2 linked regions of the Tribolium castaneum genome follow. The protein of the gene in region 2 purifies or fractionates together with the protein of the main gene of each other region. This does not show direct contact. Links are inferred from orthologs where the notes say so. Each region holds a gene or a part of one and is shown on either strand. Other genes may lie near its edges. The genes, in order: Nup43 and Tcs5.

Region 1 (4,492 bases), on a different chromosome or scaffold from region 2:
CACTTTGCGAAAATATCTCAGAAATTGTGTCTTCATTTCGATATTCTTTGGCAGTGATCAAAAACTATTTGATCTTAAAATTGGACCAAATAATGCTCGAGAGACGGTTATGACGTCATAATCCCAAATTTATATCGAAATAACTTGAAGTAGGATCGTTTCATAAATCATTTTAAAGTAACTTAAACTTTTAAAAGTGACTTCAATTTTTAAAATGCGTTTCAACCTAAAAATTTTCGTAAAATATTTCGTCAAATAATGATTAGGTAAAGACGTAAAGACGGCGGCAAATTACAAAAGCAACTTTAACAAACGTTAAATTTGTCAGTTTTTTGAATTGCACAAAATTAAGAAAGTGTTCATTTTTTCTTCTAATTCATTATCTTCTTCCGAACTGCGAAGACAAAAAATTTATAGAAAAAGAAAAATTATTTTGAAATTGTTAGTGATGTAAATTTCTTCGATCAGTTTCGTTTAACCAAGCCAACCATTTACGCTCGTTTGAAAAATGTTGAATAGATTACGTTCTAACAAGTAAAAGTCTCAAAATTGACGCCTGTGCTATGGCAGTTTGATTTAGGGTATTAATACAAATCGAAAGTTAAGAGTAAAAAATTTTCCAATTGTTCGTTTTAGAGTTATTGATAAAAATGTAAATAATAAGCTTTAGCTGTCTTTCCAATTATTTGTGCAACATAATTGATTAGTTGATGTTAGCGATATTAAAATTCTTTGAATAACTGTGTCTAGTAAAGAGTATTATTAATTTCCTTCGTTTTTGTATGTGTTAAATGATAAGATACCACTTTATTAGTGTATTCGAAATTTTGACGATATGTTAAAAGCTCGGTTATAAGTAAGATGTTTGTATGATGGCAATGCCACTGCTGAGACTAGGGCCTACACGGAAAAGTTTCCAAATCGCATTATAGCATACTTTGTGACAACAAATTTGGTAAATTCGCTTTTAATAAAATTTAATGTACAAATTTTAAATTTTAGATACTTATCAATAACTCGATAACGAAGGACAATTGGACAATTTTTCACTCTTAACTTTCGATTTGTTTTAGTCTTCTGAAGCAAATCCTAAAAGCATGGGCGTCAATTTTGAGTATATATAGGGTATATACTTATAGTTCTCACATTACTTGCTATGTCAACCGCAAACCAACAAAAACTTACCCCACAATTGCAGTTATTATTTTGATCATTGTTGTTTACAAGAAGGAATCCTAAAAGATAATGAGCCTCTTGCAGGTACTAAGAAGATGCCCAAAATAATTGATGCGGTTTTGTGGAAGTTTTCATTGGTTTATGGTATAGACATAGCCAGTTACGCAGAACTATACACAACATCAAAAATAAAAATATTTTCGTCAACACTATAACTATTTCATAAACTTCATCAACAGCAGCAAGCTGAAGACGAAAGGAACCATTATCGTTGATTTTTTTGCGTACTAATGATAATGTGGATTTAGCACAATTATCTGGCGGACTAAATACTAACAAAAAATAGTTATTAACATCAACTGCATTAAAGTTTGAAATATCAATGTCATTTCTTTACGTAAAGTAATCTTATATATGCGTTCCAAAATCAACTATCTCCGCGTTGTTTTTTGGAGTTATGTGTTTGCCTTAAAAGACTTAAAACTTTAGCCACATGTTATTTCAGCAAATACGTAGTTTGAGTTTTTTTATTCCATTTCACTATCTAGTCTTAAAAAAAGGATTTTTAAAAGACATTTTGTTCCATAACCGCCCATCTCCTCTCCAACTTGTTCCAAAACTTGCCACCTCCAACCTTAAAAAAAATGCAGGCTTTAAATTCAAACATTGTAATTAAAGTATAGGTCATCGAATTCTACTCTCTAAGAGGTTTTATATCAGTGTAATTTAAAATTTATTTGTTCAACAGCATTTGTATTAAACATTAAACAAAAATACTGAATAGAGACGGCAGGTTTTGGAACTAGACGACTCATTTTACAGCGTTCAATTTTATTAAAACTTCACGCTGTAAAATTATACCTACCGCACGTATAATGTAAATAACTATTTTGGTATCATTTAAAAGAAAGTTGCCAATACCTTTAAGTTGGCACCATTTTTGGCGTTTGCCAACATAAATAAAAAAAAAATAGGTACCTTCTTCATCGCCAGCTACCACCAAATGCCTCTGTGTAGGGTGGTTTTGGAGACACAATGGCGAGATTTGATCCCCACTCAACATGAAAGTGGTCGCGGGTTGGCTTTTAGGGGCCCGAATATCGAAAATCTTCAATTGTCCACGAAAATTACCGGTCAAAATTTCGCTATGCTTCAGAAAAGCCACACAACGAATTGAGCAACTATCGGCGTTTTCAATTGTGCGGATAACGTTTTGGTTTTGGGCATTTAACAAATTGATAGAACCGTCTTCGCCAACGCTCACAATATCGTTGTCGTAGGTGCAAAAGGCAGTGCAAGGGCAATTCTCCCCATTGGGAAATTTGTGAACTCCCTCCCAGTAAATTTTTCTCTCAATTAAGGGATCAATTCCATGTTCGGAAGTAATCTTCAGCAGACTGACGCAGCCCGACGACGAAGAAGCAACGAAAAAATCGCCGTTTAAGAACTAAAAAATGACAAAAATTGTTTCACTCGCTACGTGGCTCGTATCGCAATACTGATTGTAATATACATACTTTAACTTCAGTTATGTCCCCGTTGTGTGGAAATTCAGCCACCAGAAATGGATAAACTTCGGCATCTTCTTCATTTTCTTGGAAATCCCAAAGTTTGATGCTGTTTTGGTCATTGTCCCAACTGCCGGTTACAAAATAATGCGAGGCATTCATAAAATCGGGCCTCCAACGGATTTTATTAACTTTTTCAGAAACAAATGTTCCATGAATGTTGTGGGCCATATTTTGTGTATAATTAAGCCCATAAAAATTAAAAAAGTGGCGCTATAACCTCACTGTGTCGTTGAAAGCATAATTGAATAATTGTCAGGCAACCCACTATACGTGCGGTGGAGTATACTCCGTATCAAATCTATAAGACAAATTGCTTAACGACTCTACATTTTTTTAAGCCAGAAGTACGTTATAAGAATACATGATTAATGTTTAGAAAATATTGTTACGGCTGAACTGTAATAAGTTTATGTTTAAAAATAAAATAACTATTTAAAACAGATTTTTTTATGTGGGGGGTTTATTTTATAGAAACGGAAGTAGGTGTACGTTCATGGCAACCTGTTCACTGACAGTAATGTTTTCCACTAGATGTCAGTCATGAAATTTCAACAACAGAACTGGCCTTTATAAAGCCCCCCTACATGAAAGGCAATTAGACGAATTTAGTAATAAATACAAAATAAAGTATGTGATAAGCTCTCCCAAAGCCAAGAAATGGAACAGGTCAGTAAAACTAAAACAATTTACAACTTTTTTAACCTAGAAATTTTTCAGATTGATAAAAAAATCGAAGACGAAAATGATTAAACAGCTGTTGCCTGAGGAAGACACTAAGCCAGTTTAGTGTTGTAGCAGCCCCTTGAGGAGCACAAATGTCGTGATTATTCCTTTGAGACGAACCAGTTTCTACATTTAAAGGGACACCATTGAATAAGATACACTATACACACATTAAACATGTGCCTTTGAATCAAATGTGTGATTCCATTCACAGCTTGCGTTAGTTGCAATTTAGAGACGTTTTTTGTATTAGTGTTTCTAAAACTTGCTATTAGTAACAGACATGGTTATTTCAGTACTGTAAACAATATATATTTAAATGTCGCGAATGTTCATATGATGCAAAAAATAAAGCCGGCGATTTAAAAGATCACACACTGCACCACCATATACTTTCAACCTCATTAAATGTCTGTTGCACAGACTATTTTCAAGACGCTGTTTAAAAACATGTTTTTAGAACATTACATATCAGAACAGGTTTAAATGTTTCACTTAACTTTATAGAATAATTTGGTGAAACGTAAGGCCCTTATTGTATGTCACAAATCTCATTTTAAAACCAATAATAATATTAAATAGTTATTTTGTATTATCTTCCAAGCAGAGTAGTTAAGATTGACTAAAGTAATATTTTATAACAGTGCAGTTGACGACAGAAAATGATTCGCAAGTTAGGGTTTCTTTGGGCTTGCTTCAGCTTAGGCCCCATGTCTGCTCATGGTAACATCTGTTCTGAAAAGTGAGACGAAGTGAGCAATAAACATCTTTTTTACTGCAGACTAATCATTTTCTGGCCCCATTGCATTGTTGTCATGAAATATTACTTTAGTATATCTCCACAATTTCGCTTGGAAGAAAATAATGTTTGTCAGTTTAGGACGAAGCATAAAGGGTATTGGATGCGGAATCTTAGGCGAAAACATAATATTGAAAAAGGCTAACAGGACTTACTATTTTTACAATAATAATTCTCTCTATACCTACTGTTAAAAAACATGAGAAAGTGTTTATCGATGATT
Region 2 (2,994 bases):
GGGACAAAATTTTCGATGTAAACGTGAAAGCTGCTTTCATGTTAGCGAAAGAAGCTTTACCGTTACTTCGCAAAAGTAGCTGCGGTCGAATTATTTTCATCTCGTCCATTGGTGGTTTCCAGCCTTTGGATGTAAAAACAGTTAGGTACTCAAACTTTAAGCTAAAATTTTGTTCAAGTTGATTGGGGCTTACTGTGTGAGCAAGTGTGCACTCTTTGGACTCACTAAAACAGCAGCAGCCCAGTTAGCTAAAGAAAATATCACCGTTAATTGCATAGCCCCGGGTTTAATAAAAACCAAGTTTTCGCACTTTGTAAGAGGCAAAAACATTTTTTATTGTGTTATAACATTTTGAATCATAGCTGGTCGAGAAAGAGGAAGACAAAAAGAAAGTTTTATCAATGATTCCGATGGGAAGGTTTATTGCAATACGAATTGAGTTTTTTCAGTTAAAGAATTTATTTTTACAGAATGGGAATGCCACATGAAATAGCTGGCGCAGCTGCATTTTTAGCATCAGACGACGCCAGTTACATGACTGGGGAAACAATTGTAGTAGCAGGTGGCATGCTATCAAGATTATAAATAAATGAATCAACCAACCATTGTACGCTTCCGGCCCCTAGCTTGCACTTCTTTAAATTTAGCCAAAACTTCCTTAAACCCTGACTTATTCTCTAATTTATAGCCCTCCAAAACTTGGTCAAAAATTTCACTAGCTGTGCTATGTGTACTGATAAGGGCTCGTTCCAACACGTACAAATCAACCCCTTTATCTTCAGCGCTAGACTCTACGTGAGATAATCCAAAATCAATAAAAATCAGCTCTAAATCTTGCAAGTTACTGTACGACTTTTGTCCGTTTTTATTAACAAGTAGCATGTTTGATGTTGTCAAGTCCCCGTGAATGATGCTATTGGCATGCATTTTGCCCAACACAGCCCCAATTTTTAACGCCAACTTACTTATAACTTCGTTACTTGCTTGTGCTATGAAATCCTTGACCACGATACTGTTCTCAAAGTACTCCATAAAAATAGTACGGCGGTTGAAATCAACTAAATATAAGGCGGGGGTCCTTATTCCGGCAGATTTACACCGAATTATTGAACGACTTTCACTTTTTATCCGTTCTTTGGTCAAGTGTGAGTCAAGATCCGGATGCCGGTATTTCTTAACGAATCGTTCTTTGGCAATTGCGGGTTTTCCCAAATACACTCCTTTGAAGATTCGGCCCTCGGCACCTTGTCTGAACAATTCGAACCCTTCCATTTGCAGTAGTTTTTAACTAATTCCAGTTTTCACTCTTGCTGTTGACACAAAAAAGTGAGGTTACGTAATTGTAAATATTTATTGTTAATTACGAGCTGATCAATTATGTTTATCGTTCCATTACACTGATTACTCTAAGACATTACAATTTCCAATTTTTTGTATTAATATTACTCAATAACAAAAAATTCTACTCACACGTTCAACTGAACGTGACATTTATGGGTTATGTTATCTAACCTAAAAAATAGTCGCATTTTAATTTTTTACTTGATAGTAAAGCATGACTTCTGTCGAGGAGAGCCTTGAGAACGCAACAATAAATTCATCATCGACTGATAATTCCGATGACTCAAGTAGCGAAAGCAGCGATGAAGAAGGTAGCGTCACAGCCCCCAAAAACTAGACTTAAAATGATATTTCAGTACCCGACTTTCCCATTGCCATGTGGGATTTTAATCAATGTGACCCCAAGAAATGTTCAGGCCGCAAATTATCGCGTCTAAAATTAATTAAAACCCTAAAAGTCAAACAAAAATTTCCAGGGCTGGTATTAACCCCGACTGGCACTAAATGCGTAAGTCCCAATGATCGCGACATTGTTTCAAGCAAGGGGGTAGCCGTGGTGGACTGCTCATGGGCCAGAATCGACGAGACACCCATTGCAGCACTCAAGCCCCAACATGGGCGCTTATTACCGTTTCTCGTGGCCGCAAACCCCATCAATTACGGGCGACCTTGCCAATTAAGTTGCGTTGAAGCGATAGCCGCAACTTTGTACATCACCGGATACAAAAAATTAGCTCGGCAGTATTTAGATAAATTTTCGTGGGGACATTCATTTATCGAACTGAATAAAAATATATTGGAGGTATATTCAAATTGTAGCGACAGCCAATCGGTGATTGCCGAACAGACCAAATATATAGAAAATGAGCAAAAACAGCAAGAATTGGCCAAACAAGGTATGTAACGACGAAATGTTACCAATTAAATAACAAACTGTTTTAGCGAAACCGGATTTTCCAAGTTCAAGGGAGAGTGAATCGGATTAAGTTTTTTATTTTTTTATAAAAATGTATTTACGTAAATGTAAAAACATAATACAAGTGAGTTACGATGCATTAACTTCCTCAATCGCCAAATGTGCGATAAACCTCAACCTCATTTGCAAAGGCGGTCTTAACCGGCGCACCACAGTCTCCAACTCCTTCTTCATGCTATCCCCCACAAACATGTACTTAATGTGGTACAAGAGATCGCAGATCGGGTCCATATATTTCAACTCGCTGTGCGCGTGGTCAACTTGTGCCAACAGTTCGTACAAAGCACTCGTCAATTCCACTATTGCCACGTTAAACCGTTGCAAAAAGGGCCCCACAAGATGACAAACATAGAGAAACTGTTCTTCGGACCGTACCACAGCCGGTAAACACTCACGCGCCCATCGGGGCACACTGGCGATCTGCCCCGGACCAGCGTGATGCCAAACCGAATGAGCCAAAGCTAGCATATAACTAAAATTATTATGCAAAAGCCCAGCGTGGGTTTCTTTGAAATCGAACAAACGGAAGGGAGAACAGTCAAAATTCCACGTTTCTAGCTCGTTTAACGTGGCCACAAGTCGATCGTGTAGAACACTCCAGTAGCTAACTGGAAGCGCTGCCAGAATTAAACCAACAGCATTGACCCACTGGTGGATGTCTGACGAGGGAATTGTGA

Evidence for each region.
Region 1: the proteins of Tcs5 (region 2) and Nup43 purify together in Homo sapiens (affinity purification with mass spectrometry; 3 studies listed by BioGRID and IntAct, counting the BioPlex papers as one, with this or other methods). This does not show direct contact. The link is inferred for Tribolium castaneum from reciprocal best matches to the Homo sapiens genes TP53RK and NUP43.

The regions. Positions count from the first base shown.
Region 1 is NC_087398.1:14,041,462-14,045,953, forward strand, and holds the start of Nup43 (nucleoporin Nup43), read right to left. Parts: upstream 3,018-4,492; 5' UTR 2,916-3,017; coding exon 2,694-2,915; intron 2,624-2,693; coding exon 2,155-2,623; intron 1-2,154. UniProt on the Homo sapiens protein: Component of the Nup107-160 subcomplex of the nuclear pore complex (NPC). The Nup107-160 subcomplex is required for the assembly of a functional NPC.
Region 2 is NC_087394.1:35,200,271-35,203,264, forward strand, and holds Tcs5 (EKC/KEOPS complex subunit TP53RK), read right to left. Parts: upstream 1,273-2,994; coding exon 595-1,272; downstream 1-594. Other genes in the region: uncharacterized protein LOC658853, read left to right, coding at 1,556-1,652, 1,698-2,237, 2,284-2,327; MED23 (mediator of RNA polymerase II transcription subunit 23), read right to left, coding at 2,387-2,994.